Linked DNA regions of Saccharomyces cerevisiae S288C. Changing the gene in region 1 together with any one later gene gives a genetic interaction. Each region holds a gene or a part of one and is shown in the gene's direction. Other genes may lie near its edges.

Evidence for each region.
Region 2: mutations in NRG1 (region 1) and YDR444W together harm fitness more than expected from each alone (negative genetic interaction), as found in Saccharomyces cerevisiae (2 studies listed by BioGRID).
Region 3: mutations in NRG1 (region 1) and FUM1 together harm fitness more than expected from each alone (negative genetic interaction), as found in Saccharomyces cerevisiae (2 studies listed by BioGRID).

The regions. Positions count from the first base shown.
Region 1 is NC_001136.10:541,849-545,707, reverse strand, and holds NRG1 (transcriptional regulator NRG1), read left to right. Parts: upstream 1-2,338; coding exon 2,339-3,034; downstream 3,035-3,859. UniProt on the Saccharomyces cerevisiae protein: Transcriptional repressor involved in regulation of glucose repression. Binds to UAS-1 in the STA1 promoter.
Region 2 is NC_001136.10:1,348,240-1,353,226, forward strand, and holds YDR444W (putative hydrolase), read left to right. Parts: upstream 1-2,050; coding exon 2,051-4,114; downstream 4,115-4,987. Other genes in the region: SSN2 (Ssn2p), read right to left, coding at 1-1,699.
Region 3 is NC_001148.4:45,337-49,675, forward strand, and holds FUM1 (fumarase FUM1), read left to right. Parts: upstream 1-1,999; coding exon 2,000-3,466; downstream 3,467-4,339. Other genes in the region: KEL3 (Kel3p), read right to left, coding at 1-1,170; YPL261C (uncharacterized protein), read right to left, coding at 3,660-3,968; CUB1 (Cub1p), read left to right, coding at 3,967-4,339. UniProt on the Saccharomyces cerevisiae protein: Catalyzes the reversible stereospecific interconversion of fumarate to L-malate.

The DNA.
Region 1 (3,859 bases):
ATGTTTTGCAAAATAAGTGGTTTTGAAAAGAATTGATACTAGGAATCGGTGCAATACCTTCTACCTTTCTTAATAGGTATTCTTGAATAATCTACCTCACTTTCTGTCCCAGATACGAGATGTCGAGCGCCTCGAAAATAGATATCGTTTATTACGTTAGATACGGAAAGGTCTACGTGTCATAATAAATTGCATCTGGATTGCGATTTTGGGTCATGCCTAACTGGGAAAATATTTACATCTCCATGTTCTCATTCTGCCTTTGCTTTCCTTCAAAACATGGTTTTCAATTCAACCTAGGGTCTACCGCGGAACCATATGTACGCCGTAAATGCGAGTGTTCTTGAAAGGTAGTAATGTGTTCCCTCTCAATATGTAAGTCCTTCAAGAGTATGCACTTGCAGTTGCACTGTTTCGGGTAATTATCCGTCATTAAGAAAAAGATGCTTCCACTTTCTCGTGTTTTTACGCACAATCGTGCCATTTAACCGGAAATAGACTCCATTGCATTGATTGCTCTCATAAAAATTATAGCCCGCGTTTGATACTTGTTTAAAATAGGTGTCGACAAAGTTAGTTTCTGTCTTCCATTTAGTTTTTACAATATGACACGTCAAATAAATCTTTTCGATTTAGTTAAAAGAGTTACCTGGCGATAGCCTTCTGGTAAAACACCTATTCATAAAACAATCTTAAAAAACCAAAAAATTACCAAACAACTATGTAGGACATATTTTTACAGTTCATAAAAACGCTTCGAGCTGCCGATATCGGTATCAAACACCAAAATATACATAGTGCTGGTTTAAGCCAGAATATCTTGGTGAAGCTGCGCCTATATGCCTTGTATTTAAAACAAGTCACGAAAAGCTATTGCCAAAGGAACATAAAAACTCGTATCTATGTTATATTATAAAAAAGATATAATATTTATATATTATTATTAATATTATTTTTTAGTTCCGAAAGGAGAAACTTATAATTTTTATATCATTATTTATTATTATTTTTAATTTCAACTCCTTTTATACCTATTACTGCATGTGGAGAAAAGATTAAACCAGGCGAGGCAATTTACACTTATTCATTGAGATAAGATGAAAGAGCCACGCCTCGTTACATTTAGGCTACATCATATAACAACTAGTCCCAGCCTCCCCCCTTCCCCACCTTGGAGTACTTTTCTCCAGAAATAGAAAGCTAAGAATCAAAATCGCACCATTACGTATGAGCTCATTTGCCGTCTTTTCCCCGACAATCCGGCACAAAATCTGGCTACCCGTCGTATGTATGGTAGACGATATTATGTACTCTAGTAATGCTATGTACGAATAGTTTCAGACGGGCACAGGGACCTAGAACGCCAAGCGCAAAAAAAAGCTGATAGGAATTCGACGTCACGAACCCTTGGAGTAAAAGAAAACTAAAATATACGAACTTCGCGGAAAATAAAAAACTTTTCCTTCAGTTGTTCCTCGTTCGAAACAGTAATCTACACGGACCGTTGCTTATTTTTAGCCAGATTCTAGTTAAATAAAAAAAAAAGAAATAAAATTAAAAAAAAATTAAACTGTGGCAGATAAGCCTTTCTAATCGAGGCAGTGTGTTTCTTTTGACTTCACCGTTTGTCTTCGCATAGTTCCCCTAAATATTCTAACTAGAAAAATCGCTAGTATTTTTCTACTTATAAGTTGATTTTCCGCATATTTGTCTTTGAAACGTTTGAGACAGGGAAAACTCTGTTTTCTAAAAGAGGAAAAAGCAAAATGAAGTATTGGCTTGGTTGCGGTCAACACCCTCAGGGAAAGCCAAGAAATGCTTTTTACTGTTTAGCAGTGAAAAGGCCGCACCGGAAAAGAAGGGAAAAATTCATTGGGTCTAGATTTTTCTTATCGGTAAAAGACTATGGCCTCTTGAGGACCCTTAAGCGTGAAACGAAACGCGTTGAGCGCGCAGAGGGGCTTCGCCGCCGGTCAGGGTGTTTGGGGTGTTTTTTCTTTTAATTATTCTCTTGGCAGTGTCATCTTTCTACAGTCTGGCTGCAGGCTCCTTTTCCGTTATTCATATATAAGGAAGAGAACTTTCCAAACCCAAATTAAAAAAAATTTGGTTCCCATCTCTTAACTAAAAGAAATTATATTACTCCACCTCGTTTACAGTTTTTTGATGCTATAAGGGAATTCTGCAGCTTTTGAAAGTAAAAATCATATCGTATACGATTCTGCAAAGTATTATTGTACTGTAATTCCTACCATTACGGCGCCTTTTTCTACCATTCACCTTTCTTGGATTGTTCCTCTCGACCAGCATATTACTACCCTTCGCAAACTTTCAGGCAATGTTTTACCCATATAACTATAGTAACCTCAATGTTTCTACTATGCCCGCACTGCCGGGAATCTCCGCATTTGATGGAATGCAAGATGAAGAAAACGTTGAAATAAGCCCGGAAAGAAAATATCAGACGCTACTACCAGTTCTAACTAATTCTCATGTGGTAGAGAATGAACTAAAACACAAATTAAATAAGACTGCTTTTGATTTCCGATACCAAACCAAATCAGAAAATGGCTCTGAAAAGTGGGAGCCAAAATACTTAATAACGCCTAATTTACAAACAAGAAGCGTCTCTTTTGACAATTCATCGGTACAATATAATTCAGATTCATCCGAAAAAAGCTCGCTATCACAACTAACTTGTAATTCATCAATAATACAACAGCCTGAGAACGGAATAGTTTCTAATGATGCATATAATAAGATGGCAAATAGTAGATACTCTCTGAAAACGCGGAAGCAAAGAACAGATCCAAGAAATACGTTATCAGATGAGGAAGACCTTGAACAAAGGCGCAAATACATTTGCAAAATTTGCGCAAGAGGATTCACTACATCGGGTCATTTAGCAAGGCATAATAGAATTCATACGGGCGAAAAAAATCATTGTTGTCCGTATAAGGGATGCACGCAGCGATTCAGTCGACATGATAATTGCTTGCAACACTATAGAACACATTTGAAAAAGGGACAATAATTGACGGTATACCCGTGTTTTTCTCATTAGCAGTACTACTATTCCGCACTTTACATCATTTTTTATAAACTCATGCATACATACATTGTACTTCAAAAGATTTTTTTTTTTTTTTGGCATCATAAATCACTTTCAGATCAGTTTCCTTTCAAACGCGCGGCATTAAGAAAACTTTTAATGTCAAAAAAACGGAAGCAAAAACCCCTCCCTTCCGCTTAAGATCATGTCTGGACATTTTAGTTGTAAGGCTGCGCCTCGGTAGCAAGTAGTGCTGCAACAAGGCTATTATGCCACCTAAACAGACCACTTTTGCTTAATACGAGACTGTGACTACCTCCTGACTTCCTGTCATAACAAAAAAACAGACGTCGCTGCATTAACATTTACAACCCCAAACCTTCTTCATTCATTGCTTTTCTTTTAGAAACTGTGGCTTTTTGACATTTGCAGTTTGCATAGTTACTTTTTGATCACTAACAACGATATATTATCGTTGAACAATTTACTACGCAAAACAGTTCACGTGATGTACGTCAGATAATTCACTGAAGGTACTACCTTTCGAGCATCTCTTACAGCAATGGTAACAGCTCATTGAAGAAGAAAAAAATAAGACAAATTTTTTTAGAGCTGCAAGCGTTTTACTAGGCATCAGAACTGTCTCCGAACAATAGTATAGTTAATTATTATACTTCAACCCTAGAAGAAATACCCGAAGATGTAAGGATGTTTTTGTTCCTATAAGCTTTTTTTTTTCACAAAATTTTCATCCACTCTACGTCTTCCATACGGTCATATAAAAGGTGCCATATCCTCGGCCAAGAC
Region 2 (4,987 bases), 810 kb from region 1:
TTTTTGTAGTTCCGCTCATCGTACGGATATTCGGTTTTTCAGATGAGGGAAAAAATGGAATATCTTTACCAAGATCAGTATGCATTTCCTTGTTATTTTTATTAATGCTTTTATTGTTATTATTTTCTTCTTCATCAGACATTTCGAACATATCCTCGGTAATTTCGTCCGATATACTTTTGTTCGATTCGTTTGTAGAATTCGATTTATTGCTATCGCCAAATAAATCCTCATCCTCATCCTCACCAAACAATTCCTTGTCTACCATAGAGTCACTTTTATCACTTGGCAGATTTTCGTTCTGTTCTCGTTGTTCCAGTGTTCCCTCTTTATTATGAAGTGTGTCTACGCTTCCTGTCTTGCTCACGGAATTATTTACCTTTTCGAGTGATCTACCATTTGCCTCCAGTTCCGTTTTCAGTGGGCTGTTCTCTAAGTCATTTGATACTGTAGTTTGTTTCCTATCATTAAATAATTCATTCTCATTGATGTTATTATTAGGGGTATTTAAGAAAGCTGGAGCAAATTGATCGCTGGGCGACAGCATTAATTTATCAATGCCTGTGAAATTAGGGGAGAAATCTTTCGGAGATATCTTATTAGTTTCTTGGACAGAATGATAAGAAGCGGGTTGAGAACTAATTGAGTTGTTCTTATAATGTTGAAACTGTTCTGTATATGCTCCATCTGAGCTTAAGGGATTTGTACCAGCAATATTACTGCTCAATACGCCGGAACTTCCTGGAGTCCTATAGGCAGCTGTTTGCTTTAATTGTATGAAATCATCAATGGCATCCAGAGCATCTTGCAAACAGTGAAATTCTGATGGATCTCCGGAAGTAGAATTTTCTATATCAGCTACTGGTTGGGCGAAGATTAAATGCAGCGGCCATACTAGCTTCTTTGCTTCAAGTAAGGGAGTTAAATACGAAGCTATAGTAGGTGTGTGGCCGTTGAGATGTCCTAAGTCAGGAACAACAGCAACCCATTTCAAATTTTTTTTATTTTGTAAGTTTATACCATGAGATACACTTAACGTCGTCAAGAGAAGTTCTGTATGTTTTGGTGGCGTTATCAAGTATCCTTGCTTGGAAGCAGGGGCCAAATGCATCCTTATTCCAGATGGTGCTAAATAAAGCGCATGCTTTGAAAGGAAAGATTCTTCCAAATTTTCCTCCTTCATTGGTACTAATCCCATGTTCTTGGCACATAACGACACTGTGAGATCTCCGTTTACAAAAAGGTGTGGTTCTAGCTGTACGAGATAATTTGGCACTCCGCTTAATGATATGCAGGCATTCCCAAATTGTATTAGCTTATTGTGTGAACCTAATGCCAAATTAATGTAAATTTTCCTTCTTAAAGCTTTTAAAAAAAGAGCATAGTGTGGCGGTAAGTTTGGCTTTGAATAATCGGCAGTGAAAGTTCCGATTTTATCTGGGCTCACTGGTTTATGTTCTATCGCAGGAGGTGTCGGTACCGGATCATCATTTATACTGAAACACCATAAATCCCTTGAAAGCAGCGCAACTAGAGTCTTTGGATCCTGCTTCCGTAGCATGAATTCCATTTGGATAGACCATTGATCGTTTTGGGCTTTAGAAATGTACTGATGATAGTTGATCTTTTTGATTTTCTCCACTCTATAGAAGCTGGATAAAACATCCTCAAGTCTGTACGTGGAAGCGTCAGAACTCATACTACCTCCTCAGATCTTGATATCCAGCTTAAACGTTCTTAAAATATAGTTACACCTTACTTCAACAAAGTAATTTCCGATTTCACACCATTCGTCTTAAAGGGTTGTTGTAAGAGTGTACTACAATAAATACTACACTACTTGATCCGGCACTACCCGGTCCCTCCACCTGAAAAAATGTTTCAATTCTTCGCTTTGTTAAGCGCGAATATATCGATGCTATTTTCTAAGGATTGTTTATTCAGTATGATAAAACAATGAACAGCAGGAAATGCGGAGGAGAATCACTTACTCGGCTGTTATTCATCTTCTTATTATAAAAGAATTGCTCCATTTTGGTTCGATCCCTTAATGCCTTACAAAATCAACCGAATGAAAAATTCGCTCGAGATAAATGAAACCGGAGGTACCTTATTGGTTGATGAGCGGAAGAGATTAAGAATAGGTGAGTTATATCGCTACAAGTTTTCCGTGAACAAAGATGTAATTAAGGAACAAGGGCTAGATGTATCGCATCTATTCTTGAGGATCAAGAACGAGGAAAGCGCGCTTCTGCGACCGCTTTATTTGACGGGGCCATATTCTTTTTACATCGATGTTAGGCCGCATAACTATAATGAGAATCGCAAGTTTCCAGGGAAGGAAATTATTCCATTTGTTGAAAATCTAAAGCCGGACGAAAGATTTAAAGTAAAAATATTATTGAATGAGAATTCTAGAGTTGGCGACACTTCTCTTTATTCATGGACAATAGATATAATTTCGCAGTTGGCGGTAACCACAATTCCGAAGCTGGAATTTTCGTTTAGGATAGGGACTACAAGGAAGGTGGTCAAGAAATCGAATGGGCTCTTTAAGAGTATTGAAGGTGTCTCTTTAGAGATGTGGGATACTGAAACCCTTTGGGATTTACCACCAAAATTTCCAGAAAAGCCTGTACATCTCGTTATTATGACACATGGTATATTTTCTAATATCGGGTGTGATATGCTATATATGAAAGATAAAATTGAAGAAATGACGTTTCCTATGGATGAGTCTATTAATCCGAATATAATTGTTCGAGGTTTTATGGGCAACGTCGGGAAATCAGGTCACGGTATACATTGCTTGGGCGTTAGAGTTGGAAAGTATGTGCTTGAGACTGTTGATAAGTTGAATAAAAAGTACAAAGTAGACAGGATATCATTCATTGGCCATTCCCTAGGAGGGCCAACTCAATCCATGGCGGTGCGTTACATAAGTATTAAAAGACCAGATTTTTTTGATGCAGTTAAAGGTGTTAAACCCGTTAATTTTATTACGTTAGCTAGTCCTTTCATCGGTGTTATTGGCGACTTCCCCTTTTATTTGTCTGTTCCACTGGATATGGGCGCGCTTGGTTTGACAGGAAGGGACTTGAATTTAAAATATACACCGTTAACGTCCAAAGATGGGTTGTATGCAGACGATGAAGTGTACCCAGAACATTCCAAGTACATATTAGAAATTCTTCCACAGGCGCCGGCTAAAAAAGTATTTGAGTCTTTTAAGAGGAGAACGATATATGCCAATGTCATGGATGATGGTATTGTTCCATTACGAACTGCTGCACTTTTGTATCTGGATTGGCGAAGCATACACAAAGTCCAGAAAATTAGGAAAAAAAATAAGAACTCTCCAACTTCAAGCGAGTTTGTGTCCTCCGATAGCCCAGAGAGTAGTGGAGCATCATCACCTTCAAACGAAAATGGTAACAACGTCGGGGAGATTCCTGCAGAAAGTCCAAACAAAAAAGCGACGTTGCAGTGGACTTTACCTCAGGCCGTTATCCACGGAAGTAAAATAAATAAATATAAGAGAGGACAAACTAATGAAGCCAACTCAGATTCGGATAATGAACAAGGAGTATTTCTTGATGGTCAAAAGTTCGAACCTCCAAAAGAAGCCAATACTGTATTGTCTGCATTATCGGTATTGACAGCTGCCATACCAGATCAGGAGTATATCAAAAACCCGGCTGTAAGGAAAGATGAAGTCATTCATGATAAACTTTATCACCCGGAAGAATTACCTCCGCCGCATTATGAGAATAGGCCTATCGTTAAGAAGCTTATATATCCTAATGAGAGTGTCAACAGGATTCAAGAGCGCATTGCTAGAGAATGGCAAGAAACGATGACTTGGAGAAAAGTATTAGTGCAGATCCAGCCTGATTCCCATAACAATATCGTAGTAAGAAGAAGATTTGTTAATTTATACGGCTATGTTGCTGTGGAACACATGGTTGAGCACCATTTCGGATCCAAGGTTTGTAGCGAGCTGGCTGAAGATGCAAATGAGCCAAAAGATGAGCCAAACCAGTCATCGCAAGCGGACCGGTCGAATGAGTATAACGAGGGGGAAATATCAAAGGGCGCGGAGAATGCCACATGAGTTTGATGATTTATAATGTATACGTAAAAAAAAATATCATAGATGAAATAAAAGTTTCTTAAGAATATCACAATGACCACAATAAAGTGTGGATGTTGTTTAAAAAAAAGATAGCCCTGTAGGGGGCTCGAACCCCTAACCTTATGATTAAGAGTCATACGCGCTACCGATTGCGCCAACAAGGCTATTTCGTTGGAAAAACTAATTAATTTTGGAAGTAATAGGACATTAAACATGTTTGTTGCAATGAAACTTTAAAATATCATCTGTTTAGTTTTATTCATGTTACTTGTTGGAATAAAAATCAACTATCATCTACTAACTAGTATTTACGTTACTAGTATATTATCATATACGGTGTTAGAAGATGACGCAAATGATGAGAAATAGTCATCTAAATTAGTGGAAGCTGAAACGCAAGGATTGATAATGTAATAGGATCAATGAATATTAACATATAAAACGATGATAATAATATTTATAGAATTGTGTAGAATTGCAGATTCCCTTTTATGGATTCCTAAATCCTCGAGGAGAACTTCTAGTATATCTACATACCTAATATTATAGCCTTAATCACAATGGAATCCCAACAATTACATCAAAATCCACATTCTCTACATTACTAGTATATTATCATATGCGGTTTAAGAAAATGGTATAAAGATTAAGAAACAGTCATGAAAATTTAGTGAAGCTGAAATGCCAGTATTGATAATACGATAGAATAATGAATGACAAAGTATATAAGGAAGATGAAGTAACATTATTATGGAGAACTATCGACTCCCTTTTGTGAATTTCTATATCCTCAAGGAGAATTGCTTGTATACTATGTATATATAATATTATAACCCTTGACAACAATGGAAT
Region 3 (4,339 bases), on another chromosome or scaffold:
ATCTTTATTAGATTTTCTTTTACTTGTGGCGGGTGAATTTTTACTATTCGTTTGACGCTGAGGTTTAATTCTAAGTTTAGACCATTTGTTCAACTCTAGGTGGAACATATATAGGTCGTTATAGAAAACGGACTCTAAGGATTCCTCTGTCTCTTGTAAATCGTAGACACCACCAAAAGCAACGGACTTGTTTTGCTTCCATAGATTGAACGAATACCCGACTCTTGGTGAGGGCTGGTTCTTGAAATTCTTTAATTTTTCCCACTGCCACTTCTTTGGATCAGGCGTTAAGTTCAGTTTCCATGCATCATTCAAGATTTTTCCCTTCATTAAATTTTTATTATTTTTGGCAATGATTTTACAGTAACCACCCATTAATATGGCAGAATTATCTGTAGGAATGAAACAATGACCCGATCTAGCGTCAGGTTTGCTGTTTGTCTCCAATTTGGTCCATTTGTAGGTTGAGATATCAAAACACCACAAATCATTTAGGTAAGAAGTTTGACCATTCCCCAAATCTCTAAATCCACCAAATAATATGAAATAGTTTTTCCAAGCAATAATTCTATGACCTGATCTGGCGCTGGGTGAAGAGTCTCTACCGCCAAACTCCAACTTAGTGAATTTCCTTTCAACGCAGTCAAACAGCCATGTATCAGAATAGTGGTAGAATTTAGATTGTTTTGGGGACGAAAATTCACCACCGTGTAACAGTGCTATTCCGGAAGGATGCACAGCGACAGCGGCACTGGATCTGGGCAAAGGTGCATTTTGCGAAACGTATTTTTTCCAAGAGTTGTTCTTTATGGAGTATGAATACAAATCATTATAGAAATGTGTTAGTTTGGTTTCTGGATCTGTAAATTCACCACCGAAAATGAACAATTCATGTTTATTGTGTTGCGGATTTGCAAACATCAACGGATGAGTACGACAAGAGGGTTTTTCCACAGAAGTGATGTCTACATGCTCTAATTCAATTTGCTTTTTGCTAAAGCTAGAGAGAATTTCATCGAGATCTTGATCACTTTCATCATCTTCTTCGCCGTTTAAAGACTTATTCTTGTTCTTCTGAAACTTTTTCTCCTGCTTTTTTTGGTTTTTCTGATTCTTCAGTTCAGCACGTGCCTTTTTGGCCTCTTTATCCTTCTTATTCTTCTTTGCCATTAATCACTTCTACGAGTCTAGTAGATCTCTTCTCCTTCCTATAAGTGGTTAATGTATTCTTCGAGAAGCTCATCATTTTTTTTTTTCATTTTTTTTTTTTTTTTCAGTTTTCTACAATTTCATCAAATCAATGGTTAAACCGGGCAGAAAAACTACCAAGCGTTACTTTTACTGATGTTAGTACTACTACCGCAGTTATTGCGACTACTACATTAACTATAACTATACAAGAAAAAAAGTAAAGAGGGCTCGTAAAGCAAAGCTTGGTATCTCCTACATAGTCAATACATAGTAGTGAGTCGCCTATAGCCATTCTGTAATGCCATTTGTTAAGACGTGTCCTTAAACCCTTCCGAATCGCCGCGGGCGACATCATAATGTCAGTACCTAATAATGGTTATTATTCGTACCCTGTGGTTAGAGAGCTATGGAAGCTAGCAGTAAATGTCTCTAGTTCTTGCTATCACTACCATATTGGAGAGGCTTCAGGCCCCTCCCCTGAGCCGATCCTCGGAATGACTACCCCGATTCCCGGAATGGGCGTTCGATGATTGGCTCTTTCCTGTAAAGCCTTTTTGCGTTTCTTATAGGCTATATATAATCTTCATCACTGTTGTAGACGTTAAACAAGCATCCAACAGGAGGCCGGACCGAACACACGGGGGAGTGACTCTAGCTCTTTCTTCTGGGATATTCATATCGTTTCTCCATTACATACAGTCATTTTTTTGCATTTTTAAATTCGTGACTTTTAGTACTGCAGCTGTTTTTTTTCTCACGTCAAGAAATTCCATAAAGTCTAACTATTAAACGGATAAGAGATACAATCATGTTGAGATTTACCAATTGTAGTTGCAAGACTTTCGTAAAATCGTCATATAAGCTTAATATAAGAAGAATGAACTCCTCGTTCAGAACTGAAACCGATGCATTTGGTGAGATACACGTGCCTGCTGATAAGTACTGGGGTGCCCAAACTCAAAGATCCTTTCAAAACTTCAAGATTGGTGGCGCTCGTGAAAGAATGCCATTGCCTTTGGTGCATGCATTTGGTGTTTTGAAGAAATCTGCCGCGATTGTGAATGAGTCTCTGGGGGGATTGGATCCCAAGATCTCCAAGGCTATTCAACAGGCCGCTGACGAAGTGGCTTCTGGTAAGCTAGACGACCACTTTCCATTGGTTGTTTTCCAAACGGGTTCCGGTACCCAGTCTAACATGAATGCTAATGAAGTTATTTCCAATCGTGCCATTGAGATCCTAGGAGGCAAGATTGGATCTAAACAAGTCCATCCAAACAATCATTGCAACCAATCTCAATCATCCAATGATACTTTCCCCACTGTCATGCATATCGCTGCCAGTTTGCAAATTCAAAACGAGTTGATACCTGAGTTGACCAATTTAAAGAACGCCCTTGAAGCCAAATCCAAGGAATTTGACCATATTGTGAAGATCGGTAGAACACACTTGCAAGATGCCACGCCTTTGACACTAGGTCAAGAGTTTTCCGGTTACGTGCAACAAGTTGAGAACGGTATCCAAAGAGTGGCACATTCTTTGAAAACATTGAGTTTCCTGGCACAAGGTGGTACTGCCGTTGGTACAGGGTTGAACACCAAGCCCGGATTCGATGTCAAGATAGCCGAGCAAATTTCCAAAGAAACTGGACTAAAGTTTCAAACCGCCCCTAATAAGTTCGAGGCTTTGGCTGCTCACGACGCCATTGTCGAATGTAGCGGTGCTCTAAACACCCTTGCTTGTTCTCTTTTCAAAATAGCGCAAGATATAAGATACTTAGGGTCCGGGCCACGTTGCGGCTACCATGAACTAATGCTGCCAGAGAATGAACCAGGTTCCTCAATCATGCCTGGTAAAGTTAACCCAACCCAAAACGAGGCATTGACTCAAGTGTGTGTGCAAGTCATGGGTAACAATGCAGCTATCACGTTTGCCGGCTCTCAAGGTCAATTCGAGTTAAATGTCTTCAAGCCAGTCATGATCGCCAATCTATTGAATTCGATCAGGTTAATTACTGATGCCGCATATTCATTTAGAGTGCACTGTGTTGAAGGTATCAAAGCCAATGAGCCTCGTATTCATGAGTTGTTGACTAAATCTTTAATGTTAGTCACCGCTTTGAACCCTAAGATCGGTTATGATGCCGCTTCCAAGGTCGCCAAGAATGCTCATAAGAAGGGCATTACCTTGAAGGAAAGTGCATTGGAATTGGGTGTATTGACTGAAAAGGAATTTGATGAATGGGTTGTTCCTGAACACATGCTAGGTCCTAAATAAACGAGCTAAATACCTAATAATATACAAGTTTTTTATGTCTTATTATATGAAGGAAAATAAGGAAGTGGAGAGAATTTGTGATTCAGCAATGGTCCCTCCGCTAAGGTCCCGCCTCTGGCCAGTTATGTCAGAAGAGGAGCATAGGCATACATTCCATTTTTGATGGCTTAATGGGGCCCATAAATTTACATCACTACATTATTATTCCTATACAAGTTATAATAAAATAGTTCATAAATGAATATTTTGCGTCATTTTTTAATTTCTTGTCGTCGGGTAAGGGACCTAGTATTACCCGCATCACGGAAAGGGGAATTTTCAGAAATGATAACGAATAAGAGAGTACACCAGAAGAGCAAATCTCTTTAAGAAGTTTAGCAGCAAATATCGGTTTAAAAACAAACAAAAGCAAAGGAAAAGAACTACTAAATCTTCGAGGACTTTCCCAATTTTTAAAACGCTGAAATTGTATTAGAAGAGAATAACTGTCTAAAAAGAGCATGTTTGCATCCGCTGGACAACAACACCCTCAAATTGTTCCTAAGGAAGAGGAATCCATATTAAACTACCTCCTTGAAGTGAGATCCTCCTTGGCTAAACTCAAGCAAAATAGGACCCAGTATTTGAACTCTAAGGATGTCCAAACTACTTACCAACACGTCTTGACCAAAGTCAGAGAGTTGGACGATATTAGGAAGAATAGTCATGAGACGCCCGCTAAGAGCGCCGCCACCCTGATTCATAGTACTGAATTGCATAATAGAGTTGACTCCGTACTGGATGATGTCTTTCAATTGCTCTCGTTGTGTTTTTTAACTGTTGGGCTAAAAAATTCTGCACCTGCGACTTATGCATCGTTATCTACTGTGGAGA